Sus scrofa: one gene and its partner. The protein of the gene in region 2 purifies or fractionates together with the protein of the main gene of each other region. This does not show direct contact. Links are inferred from orthologs where the notes say so. Each region holds a gene or a part of one and is shown on either strand. Other genes may lie near its edges.

Region 1 (15,999 bases), on a different chromosome or scaffold from region 2:
GGCACAGGGTAGCGGCTGCAGCTCCAATTCAACCCCTAGCCAGGAATGTATGCCACAGGTGTGGTCCTAAAAAGCAAACAAAAACAGTATGTCTTAGGGAGCTCCCTCGTGGTCTAGTGGTTAGGGTTTGGTGCTTTCACTGCAGCCTGGGTTCAATACCTGGTCTGGGAACTAAGATCCCTCATCAAGCTGCTCCACACAATGATCAAAAAAAAAAAAAAAAAAAAAAAAGTTAAGTCACATATGGTGTCAATTATATCTGAATTTTTTTTTCTTAATTACACCTTGAAGATTCTTTAGCAGGTAAATTACAGATAACTGCTTTATCTTTTTTCTTTTTAGGGCTGTACCCAAGGCACATGGAAGCTCCAAGGCTGGGGTCAAAGTGGAACTGTAGCTGCTGGTCTACACCACAGCCACAGCAACACAGGATCCGAGCTGTACCTTCGAACTACACCACAGCTGATGGCAATGCTGGATCCTTAACCCACTGAGCGGGGCCAGGGATCGAACCCACATCCTCATGGATACTAGTCGGGATTATTACTGTTGCACCACTATGGGAATTTCTGCTTTATCTTTTAAAATGCTAAAACAGCCAGAACCTTAGCAAGGTCCAAGAATCAGAGGAAGCTGCTCTCCCCTGCAAGGCTCTGCTGGTAGCACCGTCACAGCCCAGGGCTGCCTTTCCTCAGAACCAAATCTTTTTCCTCACCAAAGGGAAGGCTCTGAGGCTGGCAACACCTCCCTCTCCTTTTCCCATTTCATCAGGCGCCAAGGAACATTCCTCATTTTTTAACATGCCTTTACACTTTTTAAAAAACAGGTCATGCAAATACATCGTACGAGGTATACAAAGTTAAAAGTGTCATAGAGTTGCTAGCGGGTTATGGATCTGGTGTTGTCACTGCAGTGGCATGGGTTTGACCCCTGGCCTGAGAACTTCTGCATGCCCTGGGTATGGGGAGTGGGGGGGAAAGCATCACATATGTTCCCACAGAAAAGTATTTTAAAACCCTGAAAATTTTAGCTGCGTGTGAAGCAGAGCCCCAAAGGCAGATCTATTTTGAAGAGCTAAATCCAAGCGAAGACTACCAGGCATATGCTTTTAAGTCCTTCCAAAGCAGCAGCCATGGGAGGATCAAAACCCAGATCGAAATACCTGCTCAATCTTTAGCATTATCCAAGGTCACTGTACATCTCGGGAGACGACTAAGATCCTGCCCTGAAGCACAGCTCATGCGGTTCAATATGTATACACGCTGTACGCTATATGCATACATATGATACCAACACAGCAATTAACAGTACTATATTAACATATTAATATAACACTATTGATTATTAACATATATTAACATAGTATTGCTTATGCACTTTTTCCCCCCACGGCATGCAGAAGTTCTTGGGTCAGAGATCAAACCCAATCCACAGCAGGGACCTGAGCTACAGCAGTGACAATGCCAGGTCCTTAACTGCTAGGCCACCTGGGAACTCCTGCTTATACACGTCTTATCACAGGTCCAGAAGATACAATCCACTTCCTTAATCCTCTACTTCTTATTTTCCTAAGGAGGACAGTGTCGACCACCACGTGAGCAGGTTCTGGACACACACATACATCCACTTCCTACATTTAAAGCCATTAATTTCAACTTCGGTTTATTTTTTATTTTTGATTTTACTAATATTGAGAAACTCCACTAAACTGTTATCACTAGTTATGGTGAAACTAAAAAATGTTAGGTTATGTGCTTCCCATCATGAAAGTGTCTTGTTGCCATTTTCAGGGACCTTAAAGACATCCCCGTCTTGAAGGCTCGTGACACGGCTCTCCTATTGCCGGCATTTACTAAATTTCTGCAGAAACACATTCAGGTAAGCAGATTCATTGACCAGCTTAACTTCAGTTTAAAGGAAAGGATCTTGGGGAGTTCTGTAACAAACCAGAGTGGCATCATGAGGACGCGGGGTCAATCCCTGGCCTCGCTCAGTGGGTTAGGGATCTGGCGTTGCCGTGGGCTGTGGTGTAGGTCGCAGCTGCAGTGGATCTAGCATGCTTTAGATATGGCCAGAAAGTAAAATAAAAAGATCTTGAAATTTTGCTCCAGGGTCTGTGGCAGCTTTCCTCTATCCCAATCCTCCTGCCATCAGATCAAAGGCTGACCACAGTTACGCTCCTCAACTCCATGTAGCAACAGCGGGACGGCGCAAAGTGGGCTGTGTGGAAGAGGCGGGGATTCTTTTGCTCCACAGCGTAACCAAGAATAGGGACAACACCCCTCCACGGGTGTAAACAAAGCGCTGGGGCCGCTGCCCTTCAAGAGATCATCCGTCACCTGTATTATCTCCATTAATTCTTATAAATGTTGCATAATACCACTCCACGAGGTTCCACACATAGAGCACTTAAAACAGTGCCTGGCAGGTTCCCATGGTGGCTCAGCGGTTAGTGAACCCGACTAGCCTCCATGAGGACACAGGTTCAATCCCTGGCCTCACTCAGTGGGTTAAGGATCCAATGTTGCTGTGAGCTGTGGTTTAGGTTGCAGATGTGGCTCAGATCCTGCGTTGCTGTGGCTGTGGTGTAGGCCTGCAGCTACAGCTCTGATTAGACCCCTAGCCTGGGAACCTCCATATGCCATGGGTTTGGCCCTGAAAAGACAAAAGACAAAAAAAAAAAAAAAAAAGACTGGAAACTATCAAAAAAGATATTGTACTCCAGAAGACAAAGAGGAGGCCACATCAAGACAGTAGGAGGGGTGATTACACGATATAAGCCACCCCATACCCACCGGGTGGGCAGGCCACCAACGGGAAAGTAACTGTATCACAGAGGCTCACCCACCAGAGTGAGAGTTCTGAGCCCCACGTCAGGTTCCCACACCCAGGGATCTGGCACTGGGAAAAGGAGTCCCCGGAGCATTTGCTGCTGAAGGCCAGCTGGGCTTGTGCGCAGGGGTTCCACGGGACTAGGGGAAACAGACACTCCGTTCTGGAAAGGTGCACCCAGGCTTTCATGTGCCCTGGGTCCCGGGGCAAAGCAGAAGCTCCATAGGAATCTGGGTCAGACCTGCCTGTGGTTCTTGGAGGACCTCCTGGGAAAACGGGGGTGACTGTAGTTGTTGTAGGGGAAGGAGAGCGGAGGCAAAGGTCTCAGGAATAATTGTCAGCATGCGCTCCTCTACGGGTGCCCATTTTGGAAAAATCTGGCCCCACCCATCAGCAAACAGGCTGTCTAAAGACCCGGCCCAGGCACATGCCATCTCTAATCACACCAGAGACAAAGCCCCACCCACCAGAGGGATAAGAATCAGCTCCACCTACCAGGGGGCAGGCACCAGTCTCTCCCATCAAGAAGCCGGCCACAAGCCCCTGTGTACCAACTTCAGCCACAAAGTGGGGGGACATCAAAAGCAGGAGAGGCTACAACCCCATTGCCTGTAAAAAGGAAACCACACAAAAAAGCTCTACAAAATGAAAAGGCAGAGAATTATGACTCGGATAAAGGAACAAGAAAAAAGTCAGAAAAATAGCTAAGCGATCTGCAGATTACCAACCTCCATGAAAAAGACTTTAGACTGATGTTAGAAAAGATGATTCAAGACCTTGAAAATAAACTGGAAGCAAAGATCGATAAATTACAAGAAACAGAAAAGAAATAGAAGACTGAAAGATTAAGAAGAGAATGCAAAATGCAATAGCTAAAATAAATTCACTAGAAGGAACCAATGGCAGGCAGAAGAATGAAGAATGAAGACAGACTGGTGGAAAACACTGACAAAGAACAGAAAAGAGCAAAAAGATTAAAAAGAAATGAAGACAGTCAAAGAGAACTCTGGGACGTTAAACGCACCAACATCCATATTACAGGGGTGCCAGAAGAAGAGAGAGAAAGGGCCAGAGAAAATATTTGAAGAGATAAGAGCCAAAAACTTGCCTAACATGGGAAAGGAATCAATCACTCAAATCCAGGAAGCACAACAAATACCAGGTAAAACGAACCCAAAGAGGGAATTCCCACTGTGGCTCAGCAGTTAAGGAACCTGACTAGTATCAATGAGGACTCAGGTTCAATCTCTGGCACGTACAGTGGGTTAAGAACCTGGCGTTGCCATGAGCTGTGGTGCAGGTCGCAGATGCGGCTCAGATTCCGCATAGCTATCTATGGCTGTGGTTTAGGCTGGCAGCTGTAGCTCCCATTAGACCCCTAGCCTGGGAACCTCCACATGCCGTGAGTGCAGCCCTAAAAACAAAAAAAAAAAAGGAATCCAAATTGGAAAGGAAGAAGTAAAACTGTCACAACTGTCACTGCAGATGACATGATACCATACCTAGAAAATTCTAAAGACACTACCAGAAAACTCTTAGAGCACATCAATGAATTTGGTAAAGTTTCAGGATACAAAATTAATACACAGTAATTGACTACATTATATGCCAACAATAGAAGATCAGAAAGAGAAATTAGGTAAACAATCCCATTTACCACTGCATCAAGAAGAATAAAATACCTAGGAATAAACTTACCTTAAGTCACAAAAGACCTGTACTCTGAAAACTATAAGACACTATAAAGCTCAAAGATGAAAGAAATGAAAGAGGACACAAACATATGAAAAGATATATACCACACTCTTGGATTGGAAGAATCAATAGTGCCAAAATGATTATACTTCCAAAGGCAATCTACAGATTCAATACAATCCCTATCAAACCAATGGCATTTTTCACAGAACTAGAACAAAATATTTTAAAGTTTGAAAGCACAAAAGACCCAGAATAGCCAAAGCCATCCTGAGAAAGAAAAATGAAGCTGGAAGAATCAGGCTCCCTGACTTCAGACTATACTACAAAGCTATAGTCATAAAAACAGTATGGTACTGGCATCAAAAAAAAAAAAAAAAAAAAACCCGCCAGAAATATAGACTGGCAGAACAGGATAGAAACCCAGAATTAAACCCAAATACCTATGGTCAACTAATCTATGACTAACGGGACAAGAAAATACAACGGATAAAAGATAGTCCCTTCAATAAGTGGTGCAGGGAAAACTGAGAGCTAGATGTAAAACAGTGAAATTAGAACACTAACACCATACACAAAAATGAACTCAAAATGGATTAAAGACCTGAATATAAGACCAATTACTATGAAACTCTTAGAGAAAAACAGGCCAAACACTCTCTGACATAAACCACAGAATTACCTTCTCAGATCCACCTCCAAGAGTAATGACAATAAAAACAAAAATAGGAGTTCCTGTCATGGCACAGCGGAAACAAATCTCACTCAGTGGGTTAAGGATCCGGCGCTGCCGTGAGCTGTGGTGTAGGACACAGACACAGCTAGGATCTGGCGTGGCTGTGGCGTAGGCTGGCAGCTACAGCTCCGATTAGACCCCTAGCCTGGGAACCTCCATATGCTGTGGGGGCAGCCCTGAAAAGACAAAAAAAAAAATAAACAAAAATAAACAAATAAGACCTAATTAAACTTAAACGGTTTTACACAGCAAAGGAAACCCTAAACAAAATGAAAAGATAACCCACAGGAGTTCCCGCTGTGGGTCAGCAGTTTAAGAACCCGACTAGCATCCACGAGGATAAACGTTCGATCCCTGGCTTCACTCAGTGGGTTAAGGATCCTGCGTTGCTGTGAGTTGTGGTGTAGGTCACAGACACAGCTAGGATCCCATTACTGTGGCTGTGGTGTAGGCCGGCAGCTACAGCTCTGATTAGACCCCTAGCCTGGGAACCTCCATATGCCATGGGTACAGCCCTAAAAAGACAAAAAAGAAAAGGAAAAACAACCCACAGAATGGGAGAAAACATCTGGAAATGAATTGACTAACAAGGGATTAATCTCCAAAATTTATAAACACCTTCTGCAGCTCAATACCAAAAAAACAAACAACCCCATCAAAAAATGGGCAGAAGATCTAAACAGACAATTCTCCAAAGAAGACATACAGACAGCAGAAAAACACATGAAAAGATGTTCAACATTTATTAGAGAAATGCAAATCAAAACCACTATGAGGTACTACCTTACACGGGGCCAGAATGGCCATCATCAAAATCTACAAACAGGGAATGCCTGTTGTGGCACAGAGGAAACAAATCCAGGATTTGGGTTTGATCCCTGGCCTTGATCACTGGGTCGGGGATCTGGCGTTGCTCTGAGCTGTGATGTAGGTCACAGACGCAGCTCAGATCCCAAGTGCCTGGGGCCGTGGTGTAGGCCGGCAGCTATAGCTCTGATTCGACCCCTAACTGGGAACTTCCATATGCTGCAGGTGTGGCCCTTAAAAGGCAAAAAAAAAAAACCCAAAGTCTACAAACAATAAATGCTGGAGAGGGTGTGGAGAAAAGGGAACCCTCTTACACTGTTGGTGGAAATGTAAATTGGTACAACCACTATGGAAAACAGTATGGAGATTCCTCAAAAAACTGAAAACAAAATTACCATATGATCCAGAAATTCCACTCCTGGGCATCTATCCAGAGAAAACCTCCATATGCCGTGGGAGCGGCCGGAGAATTGGCAAAAAGACCAAAAAAAAAAAAAAAAAAAAAAAAATTTTTTTTTCTTAAATTTATCACCACACACATTTACAATTTTTTTTCTTTCCCACCGTGCTCATAGCATATGGAAGTTCCCAGGCCAGGGATCTCAAACCCTCACTACAGCACTGACCTGAGCCGCTGCAGTAACAACCCCAGATCCTTAACCTGCTGGGCCACAGGAGAATTTCACAATTTTTTTTCTTTTTAAGGCCAATTTGAGGCACATGGAAGTTCCCAGGATAGGGGTCTAATCAGAGCCACAGCCACGCCAGATCTGAGCCACATCTGCAACCTACACCACCGCTCACAGCAACACCAGATCCTTAGCCCACTGAGCCAGGCCAGGGATCGAACCCACATCCTCATGGATCCTAGTCGGGTTCATTAACCACTGAGCCACAAAGGGAACTCCCTTCACAATTTTTTTTCCTTATAATGAGAACTTTTAAGATTTATTCTCTTAAAACTTTCAAATATATGATAGAGTATTATGAGCTATGGTCACCATGCTGTACAGCTGCCCTCAGTATCTGCGGGGGGCTTGGGGGGGGGACTAGTTCCAAGTCCGCCCCACGGATACCAAACCCGCAGATGCTCAAGTCCCTTATATTAAATGGCACAGTAGCCACGACCTATGTCACAGCAACATCAGATCCGAGCTGTGTCTGCGACCTACACCACAGCTCACAGCAACGCCGGATCTTTAACCCGCTGAGAGAGGCCAGGGATCGAACCAGCAACCTCATGGTTCCTAGTCAGATTCGTTTCCACCGCACCATGATAGGAGCTCCCCTATCCGCAGGTTTTGGATCCACACATAACAGGGCCAAGTGTACATTACATCCCCACGACCTATTTCTTTTATAACTAGTCTACTTTTTTGACCCCTTCACCCATTTTGCCCAGCCCCCACCCCTTGCCCAAACTTATCAACAACTGTATGAAGCAGGTAGTTAATTTTTTTGGCCGTGCCCATAGTATGTGGAAGTTCCTGGGCCAGGGATCGAACCCGAGCCACAGTTGTGACCTGCACCACAGGTAATGACACTGAATCTTAACCTGCTGTGCCACCAGGCAACTCCAGGTAGTTAATTACCCTCATTTTACAGAATGGAAGACTGAAATCCAGAGAGCAGAAATCACCTATGCAAGAGTACACAGCCGAGTTCCCACTGTGGCACAGCAGGTTAAGGATCAGGCATGGCCTCAGCTGCGGCTCGGATTCAGTCTCCGGCTGGGAAACTTCCAAAAGTGTGGCCAAAAACGAAAAAAACAAAATAAGTACATGACCAGCCCGTTTCAGAGCCAGGCAAGCAGGGCTGCCGGAGTCCGGAGCTGGGAAGAGGGGTGCTTACCAAAACGCGGTGTCAGCACTTGAGTGAGAGGAGGACTCTGCGTCCCCAGAACATCCCCCGAGAGGCCTAGTCTGGGGATCCAGGGCTCCTGGTTGGACCAAGAGTTTCCTCAACCCAGGGAGTTCCCACTGTGGCTCAACGGAAACGAATCTGACTAGCATCCATGAGGACGAAGGCTTGACCCCGGCCTCACTCAGTGCGTTAAGGGTCCGGCATTGATGTGAGCTGTGGCGTAGGCCAGCAGCTGTAGCTCTGATTCGACCCCATAGCCTGGGAATCTCCGTATGCTGCGGGTGTGGCCCTAAAAAAAAAAAAAAAGGAAAGAAAAAAGAAAAAGTTTCCTCAACCCTAAGGCTTAGGGCAAGGGGCAGGACAGGCACTCACCTCGGGGTGAATACACAGGTTCTTCCGGGAGCTCAGAGCCAGCCCCAGGAATGGCAGCTTCTCGCCCTCCTGTTTCTCATAGAAGCTGAGTAACTTTCGAAGCTCTTCAATCACCTGTTCCAGTTGATGAGGGAGCAGGACTTGGCCTGATTGAAAGCACAAGCCCCAGCCCCTGCCCAGCCAGGCCCCCACCCCTTACCCGGCTTTCCAAACGCCCCTGAAGCTCTGGTGGCAACTGCCAGGGGAACCCAAGGGCTCCGACCGAGTCGGGGAGCAGTGGGCTTGGCTCCAGGCTCACCTTCTCAATCTCGGGCACAGTCCTCGAGCAGTAGATGAGTTTAGTCACCTCCAGCGGATACGCCTGCCGACGACAATGGGCTCAGCCTCTTCCCCCTCCAGCCTCTTCCCCCTCCACGCGCCCAGTGGGTCACTCACCCGCTGGTATGCCATGATCAGGGCCAACAGGGACACGGTCTTCCCGGTGCCTGAGGGCATCTCCAGGACTCCGTGACCCTGGTGTTGAGGAAGAACAAGGCTCTCAGAACTTCAGAGACACAAACTCTGGGGAGTGCCCCCCCCCAATCCTGGAAGAGCATGTCAACACATCAGTTAAAAGTCTGGGCCCCAGGGCAGTGGATTTGAACCCCACTTCTGTTGAGTGGACTTAGGCAAATGCCTTCACCTGGCTGGGCCTCAGTATCCTCATCTCTAAAATGGGTCTCTTCTTCATAGCACAACTAGGAGGACGAGTAAGAAACTAGGTTTAAACATTCCGCATAGTACCCAACAGGTAGTGAATCCTTTTTAATGTAGCAAGCCCCTCCCCAGCACTTACTCTGGGTCTGGCACCACTACCAAGGGTCCTACATCAGTTTCTCAACAGCGAATCTATTGACATTTGGGGGCTGGATAATACTTGATTGTGAGTTCTCTGGGTGGTCTAGGGGTTAGGACTCAGTGTTTTCACTGCTGAGGCCCGGGTTAAAAAATTGTAAAAACAAACAAACAAACACCTGGGAGTTCCCTGGAGGTCTAGTGATTAAGGATTCGGCATTGTCACTGCTGTGGCTCAGGTTTGATCCCTGGCCCAGGAATTTCCACATGCCCTGGGCATGCCCCCCCTCCAAAAAACCCCAACTTGATTGTGGGGGGTTGTCCTGTGCACCTTACAATGTTTAGCAGCATCTGTGGCCTCTAGATGCCAGCCACACCCCCTCCCCACTAGTATGACAGCCAGGAATGTCTCTTGATATCGGTGAATGGGGGGGAAGGTAGAGGGGTGTCAAAACGTTCCTTAATTGAGAACAGCTGCTTTAGGTAGTGAATTAACCCCTAGAGCCTTCATATTAACCTCTAAGGTAGGTATTATTACTAGGCTCGTTTTACAGAGGTGAAAACTGTTCACAGGGAGGTTAAGTGAGTTACCCAAGGGCACACAGCTGTGGGTCCAGGATTCCAACCCAAGGAGCTGGTTCCAAACTCTTTATGTTCCTAAGCCAGCCGCTGAGCAACGCAGCCTCTGATAAATGTTAGCTGCTGCTGTTATTAACCCGTATTATTTTAGATAAGACGAAGTTTGGCCGTACTGGCCTCCCACGGACCTCAGATTTCCAAACTCTAGACGTCCTGCAATCTCAGTCTTAGACGCACGTGAGGCAGCCCCAGCCACCCACCTTGGCATCCAGCGTGCGTTTAAGCTCCAGCATGTAGGAGAACTGCTCCGGGTAGATGTAGTCGTACGGGAAATAGACCAGCAGCCCGTCCACGTTGAGCCTGGAGGCAGGGGCTGCCGGGTCAGTCGCCCGTCCCCTCAGCCCCTCTCCAGCACCCACACTCCGCTGTCGTCAGGCCGAGAGGGGTTACCAGCCCGAAACTGGCCCGCTGGTCTCCCCAGATATCCCCGAGTTGCCCAGGAGCCTCTGGGTACCTTTGGCATCTCATCGCTGACTATCCCCGTTACCGCCCCGTGGGTCCCCACGGCTATCCCCACCCCACCCCTTCAGCCTCCCCTCGCCCCGCTGGGACCCCAGGGGCGCCCACGGGTCCTGGCATCGTCCAGACTCCCGCGCCCGCTTCGCAAGCCGCGAGCCCCCGAACCCCTCTCACTTCATGGCGCCGGCCGCTACTCGCAGAAGCGTCGGCCCGCCTCCCTCATGAATATCTAGTAAAGGCAGGGTCCGCAGGGCGTCCTCGAGGCTCTGCTCCACCTTCGTCAAGACACCATTGGCTGATTCCTCCCGTCACTCCACTGGGGGGCCGTCAATCGGATAATGCGCGTGCGCACGGCAAGGCAGGGGCGGGGGGGCGGTACCACAGGCATTGCTGAGGATCGCCGAGGACCAAGAACAAAACATGGAAGGAAGAGAACCGAGAGAATCGATCCTACTTACTGGGATTCTGGCTTCCTGCATATGTCTGAATTATGAGCAGTGAATACACACTTGATTTCATTCTATTATAGTCTAGCTTTTAAGATGCCCCCTCCACTTGAACAAAGTAATCAGGACTAGAATGGGGGGCCCTAGAGAGGGTTCCTGACCCTGCCTGGGGGATCAGAGAGGGCTTCCTGAGGGAGGGGTCGGGTGAGGAGTAAGTGAGGCAGGGTAAGGTGGCCCAGACTTCGCTGCAGGCGCAGAGGACACCGCTGAAGGCAAGTGGAAGCAGAGGACAGCAAGATGGGGCTGGAATGCGGCTTGGGGAGCACAAACCTCCGAAATGGAAGCCATCCCATGCTTTACACCCAGCCATTTGACATCTCACATGGTCGTTATTCCCAGTCTGTTCTCCTGTACGTGGTAGTGCAAGGAGCACCTGCGTGGCATCTTTTTTATGTTGTTGTTGCTTTTTAGGGCCGCACGTGGGGCACATGGAGGTTCCCAGACTAGGGGGTCTAATTGGAGCTACAGCTGCTGGCCTACACCACAGCCATAGCAACTCCAGATCCAAGCCTCCCGCGTCTGTGACCTACACCACAGCTCACAGGCAACACCAGATCCTTAGCCACTGAGCGAGGCCGGGGATCAAACCCAAAACCTCATGGTCCCTAGTTGGATTTGTTTCTGCTGCACCACGAGAGGAACTCCAGTGTGGCATCTCTTAAGGCTCAGGGTCATGTCTCACTAAATACTTCAACCACTGCCTAACTTGTGAAAGTATATTCTCATTTGACTGTGATAAATGCCATGTGTGGGTATGTGTCATTATCCCCACTTTTTTTTTTTTTTTTTCCCCAGGACCTCACCCACAGTATATTGAAGTTTCCAGACTAGGGGTCAAATCAGAGTTACATCTGCTGGCCACAGCCGCAGCAACACCAGATCCGAACTGTGTCTGCAACCTACACCACAGCTCTTGGAAACGGCAGATCCTTACCCCAATGAGAGAGGCCAGGGACTGAACCCACATCCTCATGGATCCTAGTCAGGTTCGTTAACCGCTGAGCCACGAAGGGAACTCCTTCATTATCCCCACTTGCCCAAGGCTTTACAGCTAGGCCAGGTGCCGCTACCCATGCCACCCCCATCCCAGCCCTGCCCGCTCTGGGTTGTCACAGCCCGGGGATGGTTCTGTCTCCCCCACTGGACTGTGAGCTCCAGGAGTATAGGGCTGACACTGTTTGGGTCACTGCTTTGTGCCCTTTGCCACCAAGTACGGGGCCTGCACAGACCAGGGGTTCAGTAAATATATGCTCAGGTCCCTCACAGTCTGCCCTGGAAAACTGTACTGTGAGATTTTATATGAGGGGCTTCAGTATTCATAGATTTTGGTATCCCTGGAGGAGCCATTCCTCCCGCTTATACCAAGAGATGCAACCTATGCCACAGCTGTAGCAACACAGCATCTTTAACCCACTGTGCCAGGACAAGGATCAAACTAACACCACCACAGAGACAAGCCAGATCACTAACCCACTATCCACAGCAGGAACTCCAAGGGATGACTGTATTTTCTTTCTTCCTTTTTTTTTTTTTCCACTTCTTTCTTTGCTTTTTAGGGCCACACCTGAGGCATATGGAAGTTCCCAGGCTAGAGGTCCAATCAGAGCTATAGCTGCCGGCCTACACCACAACCACAGCAATGCCAGATCTGAGCCACATCTGCAACCTACAACACAGCTCGCGGCAACACCAGATCCTTAACGCATTGAGCGAGGCCAGGGATGGAACCTGCATCTTCATGGATACTAGTTACCACTAAGCCACAATGGGAACTCCAGATGACTGTATTTTCAATCCACTGTTGGTTGAGCAGAACCCACGGGTAGGGAGCGCCAAGTGTAAAACATTTCTTAGAATACATCTCTACATCCAGCTCCTGGTCAAGGGGAGGCTTTACTCAAGGACGTGACTGCCAGATGGCAGGGGTGATTGAGAGCCTTCTTGTAGTCATAGTTCTCTGTGTCTGGAAGGCTCTTGCCTCAGCCCCCGACTCTTTCTCTTCCCCAGAACCCTCCTTCAGTTTTACCTGAATCTGTCTCCAGAATCATAATTCTTTTTTTTTTTTCTTTTCTGCTTTTTTAGGGCCGAAGCCAGCGGCATATGGAGGCTCCCAGGCTGGGGGTCTAATAAGAGCTACAGCCGCCAGCCTATGCCATAGCCACAGCCACACGAGATCCAAGCCGTGTCTACAACCTATACCACGGCTCACGGCAATGCCAGATCCTTAACCCACTGAGCGAGACCAAGGATCGAACCTGCAACTTCATGGTTACTACTTGGATTCATTTCTGCTACACCACAACGGGAACTCCTAGAATCACAATTGTCTTATTGCAGCCTTCTGTGTTTTGTTCTGTGTTAATTTTTGGTTGACACATGTAAGGGAACATTAAGAGGTTCCAGGGATCAGGGCCTGGAGACCTTTGGGGACCATTATTCAGCCTACCCAGGATGCATTGCAATTTAAATAGGGTAGCCAGAAGTTCCCCTTGTGGCTCAGCGGTAATGAACCCAACTAGTATCCATGAGGACGTGGGTTCCATCCCTGGCCTTGCTCAGTGGGTTAAGGATCTGCTGTTGCCAGGAGCTGTGGTGTAAGTCGCAGACGCAGCTCAGATCTCACGTTGCTGTGGCCAAGAGCTGCAGCTCTGATTTGACCCCTAGCCTGGGAACTTCCATATGCCGCGGGTGCGGCCCTAAAAAGACAAAAAAAATGTATAGGGTAGTCAGGGAAGGCCTTGCTGACAATAGCCACAAGGTTGTTGTGTGGTGAGAATCCCAGTTGACTCTGATATGCGCCAGGGAATATCTGTCCTAAAGAAATCAAGTTATTTAGGGTAAGAGTCCCACAAATAGATAGGCTGTCATGAGTTATTTTAGGATAAGGGTCTGACTAAGTATCCCGCATTTTTGGCAGATGTTCTAGATGCCTATGTTAGGACAATAGGTGGTCAAAAGGTCAGATTCCATCCAGGCTGAGAGGTGCCTAAATCACACTTCCTCAGTGGCCTCCCAGCTCCATTTGAGAGCACTCTTCTAGCAATACTGACTCCATTTTTATTTTGATCCCACAGATGGCAAAAAGGGAATTTGCAGATATGACCTTGAGCTATCGAGGTGTGTCGGAAATGTAATCACGTGTCCTCCTAAGAGGGAGATGGTGCAGCAGGACAGAAACAGAGGCGATGTGACACTGAGGCAAGATGCCAGGCTGCAGGCTTTGAAGATGAAGAGGGCAGAGCCAAAGAATGCAAGGAATGCAGTTCTAGAAGCTGGAAAAGGAAATGAAATTGATTCTCCCCTACAGCCTCTGGAGGGAGCGCACCCCTGCCAATACCTTGATTGCGGGCCAGCCTGGTAAAACTAACTTCAGACTTCTGATCGTCTGAATGGTAAGAAAATAAATGTGTGTTGTTTCAAGCCATCAAATTTGGGGTCATTTGTGACAGTAGCCACAGGAAAAGAATACACTTCCAATCGGGCACCTATACTCACCTCGCCTACTCTAGCTTTTTCCATAGCAGTGATCAGCATTTAATAGAATATGGGTTTTTTTTGCTTTTTTTTTTTTTTTTTAATCATCTGTCTCTTCCACTAGAATGTCAGCTCTACAAAAGCAGGAGCATTTTATCCCCAGTTATTAAGGACAATTTCAAATGGGCACAAAAGTTGAGAGAAGAGTCTAAGAGTCTAACGAAGCCCCACATACAGGGAGCTTTATCAGTTTTCAACTCCGAGCTGATCTTGCTTCGTCTATACCCCAACCACTACCCCGCCCGCCGGATGATTATTTTGAAGCAAATCCCAGACATCATACCATTTCACCCCTGAGTATTTCAGAATGTAGCTCTAGGAGTTTCCGTTGTGGCTCAGTGGTTAATGAACCCAACTAGCATCCATGAGGACTCGGGTTCAATCCCTGGCCTTGCTCAGTGGGTTAAGGATCTGGCTTTGCTGTGAGCTGTGTTGTAGGACACAGAGGCAGTTCAGATCCTGTGTTGCTGTGGCTCTGGCGTAGGCCAGTGGCTCCAATTGAACCCCTAGCCTGGGAACCTCCATATACCACTGATGCTGCCCTAAAAGACAAAAAGACACACACACACACACAAAAGTGTAGCTCTAAAAGTAAAGACTCTTGGGAGTTCCCTTGTGGTGCAACAGGTTAAGGATCCAACATTGTCACTGCTGTGTGGGTTCAGTCCCTGGCCTGGGAACTTCCACATGCCACAGGTTCAGGGAAAAAAAGAGAAAAGAAAAAGCTCTTTGTAAGAACATAATCATAGTGTCATTACCCTACCTCAAAAAAAGGAGTAATAATTGCTTACTATCATTCAAGGTGCAGTGTTTGCATTTGAAGGCAAGGACTTTTTTTTGGGGGGGGCTGCACCCACAGCATGTGGAAGTTCCCAGGCTAGAGGTGGAATCAGAGCTGTAGCTGCCAGCCTACACCACAGCTCACAGCAACGCCAGATCCCTGACCCACCGAGCAAGGCCAGGGATCAAACCTGAATCCTCATGGATGCTAGTTGGCTTTGTTTCCACTGCAGCACAACAGGAACGTGGGATCCCGAGTTGCTGTGACTGTGGTGTGGGCTGGCAGCTGCAGCTCTAATTCCACCCCTAGCCTGGGAACCTCCATATGCCACAGGTGTGGCCCTAAAAAGCAAAAAAAAAAAAAAAAAAAAAAAAAAGGAAAGAAAAGAAAACTGAAAGTTCAAGCCAGAAGATTCAAAATCCAAATGAAAATTCCAGGAAAGGAGAGCAAGAAAACAAAGTGGAAGAAATCAGCACATAAATATACAAGGGAGTTTCCCAGAACCAAAGGGCATGAAGGTCCAGACCGAAGGGACCAGACGTCTGGTCAGAATGATGAATGAGTAAAATAACCTGACACAACAGATTATAGAAGGAGATGGCCTCAAACTTCAGATGATGGGATTATCACATATACACTATAACATCACAAATCTAAAGACGCTTAAAGACATAAAGGAATCCAAAACATGAAAAAAGATCAAGATAATACCAAAAAGGAGTTCCCTGGTGTATCAGCAGGTTAAGGATCTCGTGTCATCACTGCTGTGGCTCTGGTTACTTCTGTGGAGTGGGTTCGATCCCTGGCCCAGGAACTTCTGCATGCCCCAGGCTTGGGAAAAAAAAAAACAAAAAACAAAAAAGAGGTCCTGTTGTGGCTCAGTGGTTAGCGAATCCGACTAGGAACCATGAGGTTGCAGGTTCCATCCCTGGCCTCGCTCA
Region 2 (15,214 bases):
GGTATGTAAGAAAAAAAAAATCAAATTACAAAACCTAGAAAGGTTCTTGTTTAGTGTGTGTTATGTATAAAAAACTCACATAATTGATAAAATTAGTAATAGTACAATTGATAGATGCACAAAGAAGCTGAATCAGTCTCCTAAAGGAAATAAAAGCAAATTTAAACAAGTGGGACCTGATTAAACTTAAAAGCTTTTGCACAGCAAAGGAAACCCTTGACAAAACAAAGATAAACTATAAAATGGGATAAGATATTTACAAATGATATGATAGGGTTTAATATCCAACATATATAAACAGTTCATACAACACAACATCAAACAACCCAATTTTTAAAATGGGCTGAAGAACTGAATAGTCATGTTTGCAAAGAGGAAATGCAGGTGGCCAACAGGCACATGAAAAGAAAGATGCTCAGTATTGCTAAGGATCAGGGGAATACAAGTCAAAGCCTTGAGATACCACCTCATACCTATCAAAATGGCTATCATAAAAAGAACACAAATAACAAATGTTGGGGATGTTTAGCAAACAGAAACCTACACTGTGGGTGGGAATGTAAATGGTGCAGCCACTGTAAAAAACAGTACAGAGGTTTCTCAAAAAACTAAAAACAGAACTACAAAGAGTTCTCTTGTGACTCAGAGGGTTAAGGATCTAACATTGTTACTGTAGCAGCTTACAGAGCTGCTGTGGTGTGGGTTTGATCTTTCACATGCCAAGGGTGTGGCCAAAAACAACCTGCCATGTGATCTGGCAATTCCACTCCTGGCTATACATCCTTAAAGAAAACAAGAACAGGGAGTTCCCGTCATGGTGCAGCAGAAACAAATCCGACTGGGAACCATGAGATTTTGGGTTCGATCCTTGGCCTCGTTCAATGGGTTAAGGATCCAGCGTTGCCATGAGCTGTGGTGTAGGTCACAGGAGTGGCTCGGATCTAGCGTTGCTGTGGCTGTAGGCCAGTAGCTGTAGCTCCAATTAGACCCCTAGCCTGGGAAACTCCATATGCTGCAGGTGCAGCCCTAAAAAGACAAAAGACAGAAGAAAAAAAAAAACAAAAAAACACTAATTCAAAAAGATATGCGCCCCAATGTTCACAGCAATATTATTTACAATTGCTAAGATAGGAAAATAACCTAGGTGTCTATCAACAGGTGAATGGATAAAGATGTACACATACACAATGGAATACTACTCAGGCATGAAAAAGCATGAATTTTGCCATTTGTAGTAACAGAGATGAACCTAGAGACTATTATACTAAGTGAAAAAGCCAGAGAAATCTAAGTATCATATGATATCACTTATATATGAAATCTAAAAAAATACATAAAACTAGTGAACATAAGAAAAAAAGGATACTCATTGATGTGATTATAGTCAGGGTACAATAGAGGGTAGGAGAGTAGGGGATATAAACTATTGGGTGAAAGACAGGCTCAAGGGTGTACTGTATCACATGGGGAATATAGCCAATATTCTGTAATAACTGTAAAAGGAGTGTAGCCTTTAAAAGTTGCGTAAATTTTTTTTTGTAATGCTGCACCTGTGGCATATGGAAGTTCCCAGGCTAGGGGTTGAATCAAGAGATGCAGTTGCCAGTCTACACTGCAGCTTGCAGCAACACTAGACCCTTAACCCGCTGAGTGATGGCAGGGACTGAACCTGCATCCTCAGGGACACTAGGGTCCCTTAACCTGCTGAGCCATAATGGGAACTCCTGTATAAATTTTTTTTTTTAATTTTTAAAAGAATCTGAATCAACAGTTCACAAAGGAGGGATTACATATGATTAGCAAGTGTAAAGAAGCCACAGTAAAAATCAACAAAAAGTAAGAATAAGGTATCAAATTAGCAAAGACCCCAAAGATTCTGTGAGTGCTAGAGATGATGAGGTGAAATAGATTCTTACATAAAGGTTAATGAATGTATACATTTGTATACATTTGAGATACTCCATTCAATATACTCAGAAATGAAATTTCTGGATCGTATGGTGATTCCATTTTAAATTTTTTGAGGAAGTACCAGTTATCCACAGCTGCTGCACTGTTTTACATCCCCACCAACAGTGCACAACAGTCCCAATTTCTCCACATGCTAACATTATTTTCTGGCTTTTTGGTTTTTTTGTTTTTTTCAGCTGCACCTGGGATTGATCCAAGCTACAATGACAATGCTGGATCCTTAACTGCTATGCCACCAGTGAACTCTTTGTAAGTTTTTTTTTTAAATAGTAGCCATCCTAAAAACTGTGAAGTAATAGCTCATTGTGGTTTTTGACTTGCATTTCCCTAATAATTAGTGATGTTGGGCATCTTTCATATGCTTTTTGGCCATTTCTACACCATTTTTGGTGACATGTCAATTCAAGTCCTTTGTCCATCGCTCTTTTTTTTTTTTTTTTGGTATTTTTGTTTAGGGCCACACCTGCAGCATACGGATTCCCAGGCTAGGGGTAGAATCAGAGCTGAAGCTGCCGGCCTATGCCACAGCAACATCAGATCTAAGCTGTGTCTGCAACCTACACCACAGCTCATGGCAATGCCAGATCCTTAACCCACTGAGTGAGGCCAGGGATCAAACCCATGTCCTCGTGGATACTAGCTGGGCTTTTACTGCTGAGCCACAAGAGGAACTCCCTTTATTTTTTTTAAATGAAAGTATAGTTGACTTACAATGTTGTGTCAAATTCTGCCATGTAGCAAGATGACCCAGTCATACATCTATATAAACATTCATTTTCTTATTTTATCTTCCATCATGGTCTATCCCAAGATACTGGATATAGTTCCCTGGGCTATATACAGTAGGACCTCATTGCTCATCCATTCTAAATGTAACAGTTTGTATCTACTAACCCTCAACTCCCAGTCCACCCACTCCCTACCTCCTAGCACCACCCCTTGGTAACCACAAGTCTGTTCTCTATATGTCTGTTTTGTAGATAGATTCATTTGTAAAAATATGGAATGCTTCATGAATTTCGGTATCACCCTTACACAGGAGCCATGCTAATCTTCTTTGTATCTTTCCAATTTTAGTATATGAGCTCCCAAAGTGAGCACTATCCATTTTTTAATTGGATTTTTTTAAATTGTTGAACTGTAACAACTATATTCTTTATTCTGGTTATTAACACGTTACCAGATAGATGATTTGCAAATGTTTACTCTCATTCCTTAGGTTGCTTTTTCACTCTACTGTTTCTTTGATACACATAAGCTTTTAATTTTGATATAGTCCAAATTGTCTATTTTTTTTGGTCTTTTTGCCATTTCTTGGGCCGCTCCCACGGCATATGGAAGTTCCCAGGCTAGGGGTTGAATCGGAGCTGTAGCTGCCAGCCTACGCCAGAGCCACAGCAACGCAGGATCCGAGCCGCGTCTGCAACCTACACCACAGCTCACGGCAACGCCGGATCGTTAACCCACTGAGCAAGGGCAGGGACCGAACCCGCAACCTCATGGTTCCTAGTCGGATTCGTTAACCACTGCGCCACGACGTGAACTCCGAAACTGTCTATTTTTAACTTTTGTTGCCTGTTCTTCTGAGGTCCTATCCAGGAAGTCCCTGCCAAATCTGATGTTATAAAGTTTTTTTTCCTATGTTATTTCCTAAGAATTTTTATAGTTTTAGATCTTTGAACTTTAGGTCTTTGATCCATTTTAAGTTAATTTTTGTATACGGTGTAAGGTTAGGGGCTCCTTTTTTTTTTTTTTTTTTTTTTGGTCTTTTTGCCTTTTCTAGGGCGACTCCCGTGGCATATGGAAATTCCCAGGCTAGGGATTGAATCGGAGCTGTAGCCACCAGCCTATGCCACAGCCACAGCCACGCCAGATCCAAGCTGAGTCTGTGACTGACACCACAGCTCACGGTAATGCCAGATCCTTAACCACTGAGCAAGGCCAGGGATCAAACCTGCAACATCATGGTTCCTAGTCAGATTCGTTAACCACTGTGCCACGACGGGAACTCCAGGGGCTCCTTCATTTTTAAGAACTATTGAACAGCTACTGGGAATGTAAACTGATAGGTAATAACTACTTTGGAGAAACATGGCAATATCAACACTAACTGAAAACACATACTTGACCTCACAACTACAATTCTGAGTATGTACATTAGAGAAACTCTTGCATGTGCAAATCAACATTCCATTTTTTTAATAACTGTGAAAAACTAAACATAACCTAAATGTCCATGTGGCAGAATCCTAAAGATGGCTTTCTCAAGATTCCTATCCTAGACTTACAGCTGCCAAGGAGGAGCGGGGTGGAGGAGGGATGGATTGGGAGTCTGGGATCAGCATACACAAACTATAATATATAGGATAGATAGACAAGACCTACTGTTTAGCACAGGGAACTATGTTCACTATCTTGTGATAAACCATGATGGAAAAGTAATTAAAAAAGGAATATATATATGTATATATAACTGAATCACTTTGCTGTATAGCAGAAATATAACTTGGTAAATCAACTATACTAATAAAAACTTTTAAAAAGTCATCAATATATACTATGGAAAAAAGACTCCTGTACTGATTATTCAAGCACTAACCTAGGAACTGCTATGAAGAGAGTTTTTAAGATGTATAATTAAGACCTAAGTGAGCTGATATTAGCCCTAAAAAATTAAAAAACAAAAACAAAAAAAGATTTCTCTCTCTTGGTAACAGATGAGGAAGCCAGACAGTTTGACAGTTTTGCTGGCTTACAGATAAAGAGTGCCCTGCAATAAGGCTACTGGACTGCCTTAAGAAGCCAAGAGGGACCAATGACTGACCACTAGCAAGGATAGGAGGCATGTGCTTAAAATGACATGAACTGTATGAACCTGGAAGCAAATTCTTCCCTCGAGCCTCAGATAAGAGCCCGGAATCAACTGCCACCTTGATACTGGCCTATGCAAAAAAATATAGGTGAGCCATGCCAGACATATGACCTGCAGGATAAATCTGTGTTACTTTACACTGCTACACTTATGGCAATTTTTATGCAACAAAAGAAAAATAACAACAATCCATAAATAGAGCATGCCATAGTGTTTATACATACGGTATTATATGTGTGTGTGTGTGTATGTATATATAATATATATATTACTATTACATGGCAGTTAAAACAAAAACTAGATTTATACATATGAACATAAAATATTAAAATTTTGAGTAAAAAAAAAAGTGCTGTATGAGATGTACAGTCTACCACTCATAAAATTTTGAGACCCAAATGCTGTATATTACCACAGGCATTCTTCTAAAATAGCACTATTAACTGATGGGAGGACACACTCATTTCGTGAGTCATTCTCCTTTGGGGAGGGTGAAAAGGAAAAAAATAAAATGGAACGACACAGTAAAGGGAACTCAATTTTATCTGTAATGTTATTCTCTCCTTTTTTTTTTTGTCTCCCATTTAATATATAATATTTGTTAAGTCAGGGTAGTAGGTATTTGCTACATTACTACTGTTTTTCTAGTTTTCAGTACTACCCCCTTTACTACAAATCTGTAATGCTATCTGGGCTGGATCACTAAAATAACTGAAAATTATTCTTATTAAGGTTTCCTTAATGCATTTGCATTTTCAATTCTACATTTCAGAAACTTGAATTTATCTTACATTGCACTCTAATCAGAAAAATCAGAATTGTTTGTTTTAAAATACATTTAATAAAAACAACCCAATTTTACATATTTTACACAGGTAGAATATTTACAAATTCCTTTTTTACTTAATGTTTACTATTTTTCTACTAATTTGCCTTTTCCACTATTTCCTTCAGTAGTAGAATATTGTCCAGTGTTCTCTGTAACTAAAAAATTAGCTTCTTGGGTAATCCTCCTGGGGGGGAAAAATGAGGTTGTTTACATTTCATCTTATAGCAATTTTAACCAGTCACTGCATTCCAACTACATTTATTTTTACTTGCTTTGGTTTTCTAATACAATGTACCAGTAGGAATTTTATAGAAATAGGGTACATACTGACAGTTCTTATAATTCTGAGATACACTCAAAACTGTCCTTTTAAAAAGCATTACGTAAATATTCTCAATTGAAGCAAATACAGCTAAAATACCACATTCTACTTTACATAATTGAAGTTTTGAACAAATAAACAGTCTCCATCTCTCTGCTGCCCTTCAGCTACTACCTATATATCAGTTATCTGGAGTTTTCAGAATTCCCTTCATTTCCCATGAAAACAAGAGTTTTACCTTGTTCCAAGGCCTCTGTTCTCTTCCGTTTTGTTGCCACAGCAGGATTGGACTGTTCCTTTAAAGCTTCCACTGGACAGTTTGGTCTTGGCAGCTGACATCCAGGTGTTGGCCCTGGCCGATTGCTGAAATACTTAGTTTTCAATGCCTTTCGAAAGAAAAGGTAACAAAGTAAGGCTTTAAGTGAGTATCTGAATTGTGTTTAAGAAAATCTAACTTCCAAAACTGTAAGGAGCATTAACAATACTATGTGAACAATCCCCTTCACAAACTTAATTTCAAGTACTGGACGTGCAAATTAATACAAATAAACATCTCGCAGGAGTTCCTGCTGTGGCACAGTGAGTTAGGGATCCAGCACTGCCACAGCTGTAGGTCACAGCTGCAGCTCGGATTTGCTCCCTGGTGTGGAAACTTACATATGCCAGGCATGCAGCTGCCCACCCCCTCTGAAAAAAAGAAAGAAAAAACATCTAGCAGCCTAAGATTCACTGACAATTCCATGACTAGAAAAAGATTACCTTCAAATTTTTCCATAAATAGCATGTACTAAATATGAAATATCCTTAATAAGATATTGCATAATTCAGCTCTCTACACATTATATGCTCTACAGTTCAAAACACAAAGAGAGAAACTTGCTTAAAAAGAACTCTCAAGTTTATTTGTCAGAACATCTATATGTATTCAAATTCAAAATCATGTATTTTTTTTTTTGGCTGCTCCCATGGCATATGGATGTTTCAGGGATCAAACCTGTGCCACAGCAGTGACTCAGGCTTCTGCAGTGACACCACCACCAGATCTTTAACACGCTGTGCTATAGGGGACTCACCATCTCATCTAAATTCTTAGAAATAAAACTTTTTAAAAGATGCAATAGGTTGGAAACAATGGATTAAAATCCAATAATCCACTAAAATTGACAGTAATTTTCTTGGAAATACTTGCCCAAGGTTATTTCTATTTACTACCAGTCCAATATTCTATAATATGATATTTCCACTCAGGTCCAAAATTCCAATAAAAAGTTTTATTCTAGATGACAAAATTGTCAAGTTCATACTTTATTTGCATCGTAGTACTGTTCAAGAGCCACATTAATTTAGGACATTTCCTTTTGGATAATTCTCTAAGGAACAAAAAAAGTCATATAAACTTTAATACCTCCTTCCACCAGTCAACATAGTATTATCTGCAGGAATAATTTAGAGATTTCTTATTTTAGAAGAGTTTCAGAGTTCCCGTCGTGGCTCAGTGGTTAACGAATCTGACTAGGAACCATGAGGTTGTGGGTTTGATCCCTCGCCTTGCTCAGTGGGTTAAGGATCCAGCGTTGTGGTGAGCTGTGGTGTAGGCCGGCGGCTACAGCTCCAATTCGACCCCTAGCCTGGGAACCTCCATATGTCAACAGGGAACAGCCCAAGAAATGGGGGGGAAAAAAAAAAAAAAAAAAAAGAGTTGCACTTACAAAAAGCATTAATTCCAAATCGTAGCAGTTTCCTAAGTAAATTAAGCTAATTCTGAGCTACAAAGAGATCTAAGAAAGAAAGAATATCTCATTTCAACTTTTAAATATCCACAAGCCAAAACCCATTAAAATAAATTCATTCTATCAATATACAACCCAAACAAGTTATCACAATTAGCATTTTTCTATAAATTTTGAGTTTTATTGTTTATGATAATAACTTTCTAGATAATCTTATCTGGCCTCAAGTTTCTTATGCTGGAGATAATATGTATATACGCCTGGGTGAAAAAGTAAAAATGAGTTACTTGTTTGAAATTAGAAGGGTAATTCCAATGGTAAAATACATAGTATATATGCATCAATGTAGCACATGCTGCTAAGAAGAGAAGGCTAATAATAGAAATAAATGAGTTAAACAATGAGTCTGTAATAAATTTAAGTGAAAAAAAATCCACTTTGTATCCCTGATATATGGTGCATTAACATGTTCTGCCAGGTATGAAGATCTGAGACATTTCAGTCTCTCCTTTTATGAAGCCAAATCATTGTACTGTGTTGCATTTTTGCACTGCATTTCCCTGCCTCAATTTTAAGTGTTATTAACTCCATCCACTTGTGTGTGCTTGTTTTTCTTTTGTGTGTGTGGCTTTTAAAACAAAGAAAAAAAAAAAAACTTTTCCATTATCACTTTCTTTTTTTTTTCTTCTTTTTTGCTTTTTAGGGCCTCACCTCTCAGCATATGGAGGTTCCCAGGCTAAAGGTCAAATCGGAGCTACAGTTGCCAGCTTACACCACAGGCTGTAGGCAGGATCCGAGCTGCATCCGTGACCTAAACCACAGCTCATGGCAACGCCAGATCCTTAACTGAGCAAGGCCAGGGATCGAGCCTGCAACCTCATGGTTCCTAGTCGGAGTCTTTTCCGCTGCACCCTGGTGGGAACTCCCATTATCACTTTTGGACTGCCACAATGACCAGCATGCACATCTAGACTGCATTTTATAGGGAAAAAACTGAACAAAATACTTTTGGCACAGGCTTTGGCACGAGATTTAAGTTAACACATAAGAATTTAACTGAAATATACCAGTATCTTTACAAATACAAAAACCTTATATTTTTCCTAAGTAAACTTTCAAGTTGAAAGCAAATTATCAAATAGAAGTGTATTTATATGTTCCTAAGCAAGAGTAAACTCTCCTGCACCTGCATGTACATTATATAATTTAATACCAGTCTTGAACAGTGTCTGTAGCTTAGGGAGAAGATGAAATCTGTTATTCCTTAAAACAAAACAGATAAATCAACTATACTTCAATAAAAAATTAAGTTAAAAAAACCAGAACCCCATCTTTTCAGTATTTTAAGAATATTAGAACACATTAAGAAATCAAAAGATATGTTAAAATACCTGTGTGGCTGTAATTCGAGTACATGGATTAAATAAGAATAAGCCTTGTATGAGATCTAGCAAGTCATCTCCTGCTGCAATGAAGATATGTTGTAGCGGGATTCCAGGGAAACTCTTAAACGTCACGAAATCTGGAAGACTACACATGTCCTGTAAAAATATTTTTATAATTCATTAAGAACATACCTATTGAAAGGTATATAGACCTCAAGTGAAAAAATAAAACGGCTGTGTACATGATACAATGATCTATGTAGAAAATCCCAAGAAATCTATTTAAAATCTCTTAGAACTAAGTGAACAATGTTACAGGAAGATAATGATTCCAAAAAAATCAACTGTACAATAAACATGTGGATACCATTTAGAACCACTGAAAAACCATGAAATGCTTTGGTGAATGAAAGTCTAACAAAATGTGTAGGACTCATATAATGAAAGCTGTACAACTCTGATGAAACAAAATCAAAGCTCCAAATAAATGCTAAAATCTATCATATGGATTAGAGGATTCAATGTTGTAAGGAGGTCTAGAGTTCTCAAATTTGTATAAATTTTTTTTAAGGTGCGGCCCTAAATAGACCAAAAAAAAAAAAAAGCTACACAGATGAGAAGTTCCCATTGTGGCTCAGTGGAAACAAATCTCACTAGCATCCATGAGGCCACAGGGTTCAATCCCTTGGCCCTGCTCAGTGGGTTAAGGATCTGGCATTGCTGTGAGCTGTGGTGTAGGTCAGAGACACGGCTCCAACCCCGAGTCGCTGTGGCTGTGGCGTTAGGCCAGCAGCTACAGCTCCAATTAGACCTCCAGCCTGGAAACTTCCATATGCTACAGGTGTGGCCCTAAAAAAAGACCAAAAAAAAAAAAAAAAAGCTACACAGATGACAAATAAGCATATGAAAAGATATTCAACATCAGCAGTCATTAAGGAGGAAAAAATTAAAATCACAATGAGCTATCACTACAAACCCCTCATAATGCTTAAAATAAAAAAGTGACACCACCAAATGCTGGAGAGGATGCAGAGAAAATGGGTTACTCACATACTGCTGGTGAGACTATAATATGAATACAGCCCCTCTGAAAAGTAGTTTGGCAGTTTCTTAAGCTATATATGCAACTACCATGACTCAGCAACTGCACTCCTGGGCATTTATCCCAGATAAAAAAAGACTTGTGCTTACACAAAAACCTGTAATGAATGTTTATAGTAAAACTGGAAACAATGCAGATGTCCTTCAATGAGCAAATAGTTAGGCAAACTGGTACAATGAATTTCTGAGATACACAACAACCTGGATAAATCTCCAGAGAATTACACTGAATGTGGAAAAAAAAAAAAGTAAATTTCAAAAGTTTACATATTATATGACTCCATTTATAATATTCTTGAAATGACAAAGTTATAAAAATGGAGAACGTATTAGTGATTGGCAGGGGGTAAGGTAGGGGTGGAAGTGGAAAGAAAGTGGGTGACTGTGAAAGGGCAACATGAGGTCCTGTACATTCACATGTTGGCGTGCTGGTTGTGACATTATACCAATTTTGTAAGATGGTACCATTGTGGGAAGAGAGGTAAAGGGTGCAAGGGATACCTCTGTTATTTCTTTTTGCATGTAATCAAAACAAGAATTTTTAAATTCCTGCTGTGTAGCAATGGGGACTATGTCTGGTCACTTATGATGGAGCATGATAATGTGAGAAAAAAGAATGTATACATGTATGTGTAACTGGGTCACCTTGCTGTACAGTTGAAAATTGACAGAACCCCTGTAAACCAGCCATATGGAAAAAAATAAAAATCATCATATAAAATAGAATAAAATTAAATTACAAAAAGAATTTTTAAAAATTGAAGGAAAACATCAGTAACTAACTACTATTTAGAAAATCATGTCAGAGAGAAAAGTACAGAATAGTATAAATACAGATCTTAAGTCAGACAGATTCAGACTGGAGTCCTAGCTCTTGACCCTGGGTAGCTTCAGGTAAGTTATTTAATCTCACTAAAACCCAGTTGTCTCATCTGTAAAATGGGAATAACAGTACTTTAATAGGATTATTAGGAAAATTAAACATAACTTATGATAACTTTACCTTATATACTAATGGCATAGAGCTAAGTGTCTGATAAATGATAGCTATTAGAACTCACAGTCAACTTTCAACTGGAAAGCTGAGGAAGTAATAGCACAAAAGAAACTTTTTTTTTTTAGGGAAGAAATAGATTTATTAAGCTAGGACACTTGTGAGAGGTCCAAGCAGGCAGGCACAGAACTCTGCACAAAAGAAACTTCATTACAGTTTTAATCAGAAGGTAAAGAGGCTGATTAAAAATTTTCTTTTCCAGTATTTATTTTTTTCCTCAGGCTATATATAGAGAAGGAAAATCGAAAAGTCTAAAATATTAAGAACAAACAAGTGAAAATTTTACTGAACTGTAATACATAAAATGTAGCAATTTACAGTGTTGCAAATTTTTTATCACAGATTTAGTATTACTCTTTTGCAAAAAATGTAACGGGTTAAAAATAATCATAATACTAAAAAATCTTGATTGCGTTAGTGAAAATTCAATGAATATACCTAAATCCATCAAGATGTTGATAAACAAAAATGAACATCCATAAAATGAAATACTATATGGCCTAAAAAGGAAAACATTAACAGTTAATTTAAGAAAAAAGAACAAGTTGGTTACAATAAAAAATCATATGATGTGATCCCATTTTTGATCAAAAAAAAAGGAAAAAAAAAAGAAAAAAAGAAAAAAAAAACCCAATTCTCTATGTAATCACACCAAGAAACAGTGATTAACCCTTGGATGGGGGAGAGCTATTATGTTTATATGAGGCTGGATGGTATATCACAACTTTAACTTTGTATAAATTTTGCAGTGAGTACATATTACTAGCAAATTAGGACCGTTAACATATTTCTTTAAGTAATATTCACATTACAGTACTATACAGAATCCTAACTAAATTTCAAAGAAAATGTATGACGGCTTACAGGCCACTGTTCTTCAGTTGGTGTGCCCAAAGTTTCAAATATTCTTGTTAGTTGATCAAGGTCTGAATCTCCCGGCAAAAATGGAACCTGAGAGAAAGCGAGAAGCAGGTAATTCAAGATGGTTTGTGACAGCTGTTACACAAACAATACTAAAAACTTAGTAAGAAAAACTAAACTGGAGTTCCCGTTGTAGCTCAATGGTTAACAAATCTGACTAGGAACCATGAGGTTGATGGTTTGATCCCTGGCCTTGCTCAGTGGGTTAGGGATCCAGCGTTGCTGTGAGCTGTGGTGTAGGTTGCAGACGCAGCTTGGATCCCGCAATGCTGTGGCTGTGGCATAGGCTTGTGGCTGCATCTCCGATTAGACCCCGAGCCTGGGGACCTCCATATGCCGCGGGAAGCGGCCCTAGAAAAGGCAAAAAGACAAAAAGAAAGAAAGAAAGAACAACTAAACTAACAGGAACTTAAATGTGGTCTAAGATACACCAAATGTGGCATTAGAGCTTGCTGTTGCTAACCAAGAGTACCACACTGCCCATTTTATTCACTCCTCAAATCGTTAATAAATACTTAGCATGTAAGAGGCACTGTGCTAAGCCCTAGGCATTTAAACAAGGGAACAAGACAGCCCCCACTCCCCCTTGGAGTGAACATGGCGCACAGTGATACTACTACTACCGAACAAGACGATATGTTTAGTGAGAGCACAGGATAGGATCCCAGCCCACACAGGAACTGCACCTAAGACACTCTAGACAGGGCAGGGAAGACTCCTACAGGAGTGGTCGTGAAAGTTTCCGAAGAGCAAAGAGGAGAGTTGCAAACAAAAAGTCTAAGACGGAAGAAAAAAACTATTCCAGTAAAAGGGCAGGTGCAAGTGCTAGGAAGCAAGAGAATACATCTATATCCCAATCTTATTTAAACGACCTCTTTGCAAATACTATCTCTAAAGAGCTATATGGGCCAACTTTAAGGAGATAAATAATTACAAGTTAAATATTTAGTAAGCTGATACAAAATGATAAATTCTGCCATGCAAAGACATTATATTCAAACCATTCTCAGACATGTAAATATACCGAAAAGAAAAAAGGAGTTTTCGCTACTCTGTGAGGCTTCTGGCACTGTTAAAGGCTATGAAAATTTACAGAATTACTGGGAAGACATGAGATTAAGTACCAAGTATCCAACATTTTTATTACTGTGAAACTCTACCAGCAAAACAAAACAAAACCAACCTCTGTCAGTTATCAATATATTCCAAAGTCACCCTTTTTGACTTCTTGTAATAGTGGATCTGGGCCCTTTAAGAGACATTATAGGAAGAATAGAGTTTTGCTTCCTGGCTCCAGCCTGCTTGCCTGGCAGGCTCCTGCAGCACTCTCAGCTTCTAGAATCAATACCAGGTTCCTGCAGTGTGGGCAGTCTTTCCAGTGCCCAACTCCAACAGTGCACAGAAGCCAGCAGCTGCCCTCTAGAACCCCTGGGAGATGGTCTTGTGGCAGAGCAGCTCCAGAGAAATGCTTTCCTCCACATCCCAAGAGAATAGATTTCCACATGTTCTGGAGAGCAGATTTTCGGCAAGTTCTGCCAGCACAGCTCTACGGCAGCTTCTCTGCCATCCTCTGAGCCCTCTTCAAGAGATCTAGATCTCAGCCCTGTGGGTCCTCTTCTTTGGGTGCTCTTAGTCCTAGGGTTACCCCTAGGTATGAGGGGCTGCTCATTATATCTGCCAGTTCTATATTTAGAGTTCTCTTTACTTTTTATAAGTCAGTCTCTCATTATTCCAACCTCTTGTCATAGTTTATTTTTTATAATTCTTTATATTGTGCTTCCCTTTTCAAATAAATGTGTGGCTTCAATATTGTGATTGGACCCAGACTTAATACAACCACTATTTAAATTATGTATTTATGGAGTTCCTGTCATGGCACAATGGAAACGAATCTGACTAGGAACCATGAGGTTTCAGGTTCAATCCCTGGCCTCAATCAGTGGGTTAAGGATCTGGCATTGCCATGAACTGTGGTGTAGGTTGCAGACACGGCACAGATCCTGCATGGCTGTGGCTGTGGTGTAAGTTGGCAGCTGTAGCTCCGATTAGACCCCTAGCCTGGGAACCTCCATATGCTGAAGGTGTGGCCCTGAAAAAGCAAAAAAATAAAATAAAAAAGCTGTCTTTTAAAAAATGAATCACTGAGAGTTTCCTGTTGGCTCAGCAGATTAAAGATCTGGCATTGTCACTGCCATGGCACAAGTTTGATCCCTGGCTTAGGAACCTCCGCAGGCACAGCCCACAAAACAAAACAACCATGGAAGAATATTCTCAACTGCTATTTGCTTCCACTGACTTTCTAAATGGAATGATCAGTCATGACTAGGGGCTATGAAATTCCATTTTGTCTTGGTCGTGCGTGAACTATGCTTTTGAGAGTTCATAGATTCTCGAATGTAAATTTCTAATAAACTCTACGTTCTTTTGAGTAGCGGAGCTGTCACACCAGATGATTCAAAAGGTCCCATTACTAGCACAGGGATTACTGATATTACCTCCAAGCCTAAATGTGAGGCTCTCTTTTACATGCAAGTATTCTGAGGGGTGAGCTTCTCAAGATGATGCATAAAACGTACACTAAACTAAAAAAGACATTTAAGAAGGTAACTTCTCTCTCTGGTGTAGCAAAGCTATTTTTTGTGTTCAAGGAAATAAATAGATTTTCATGTTTTGGGTTCACATTTCTTTAAATATATGTAGCTTGAGGAGAGGGAGAGTAAGAGCTAGAATCTGGAATTTAGGGAGAAAAAAAGTCAGCCTTAGTGAGATTCCTCAATATTCCTCTACCTTCATCACTGAGAAGGGCTAAACTAAACTTTACGGCTAAAAAAAAACTTCCCAAAATGGCACCTTTCTCTCCAGTAAAAGGAAGTGAGAAAATGCTTCATTGTAAGATGGTCTTAGGACCACTATGTCTGCTCTGCTTAAAGAGAACTGAAATGCTCCCCTCATACATTAAAGTGATGCAGAGTTGCAGCTGCTGTGGTTGGTATTACATCTCTTAAAGTGTCCTTTAAAACAGCCCCCCA

The links.
Region 1: the proteins of CDK7 (region 2) and ERCC2 purify together in Homo sapiens (affinity purification with mass spectrometry; 10 studies listed by BioGRID and IntAct, counting the BioPlex papers as one, with this or other methods). This does not show direct contact. The link is inferred for Sus scrofa from reciprocal best matches to the Homo sapiens genes CDK7 and ERCC2.

What each region holds. Positions count from the first base shown.
Region 1 is NC_010448.4:51,746,946-51,762,944, forward strand, and holds the start of ERCC2 (TFIIH basal transcription factor complex helicase XPD subunit), read right to left. Parts: upstream 10,564-15,999; 5' UTR 10,417-10,563; coding exon 10,412-10,416; intron 10,296-10,411; exon of another isoform or gene 10,079-10,295; coding exon 9,979-10,078; intron 8,819-9,978; coding exon 8,741-8,818; intron 8,667-8,740; coding exon 8,604-8,666; intron 8,420-8,603; coding exon 8,306-8,419; intron 3,442-8,305; exon of another isoform or gene 3,412-3,441; coding exon of another isoform or gene 3,328-3,411; intron 1-3,327. UniProt on the Homo sapiens protein: ATP-dependent 5'-3' DNA helicase. Component of the general transcription and DNA repair factor IIH (TFIIH) core complex, not absolutely essential for minimal transcription in vitro.
Region 2 is NC_010458.4:47,426,051-47,441,264, reverse strand, and holds the end of CDK7 (cyclin-dependent kinase 7), read right to left. Parts: intron 12,216-15,214; coding exon 12,129-12,215; intron 9,266-12,128; coding exon 9,116-9,265; intron 6,381-9,115; coding exon 6,233-6,380; intron 5,857-6,232; coding exon 5,828-5,856; downstream 1-5,827. UniProt on the Homo sapiens protein: Serine/threonine kinase involved in cell cycle control and in RNA polymerase II-mediated RNA transcription. Cyclin-dependent kinases (CDKs) are activated by the binding to a cyclin and mediate the progression through the cell cycle.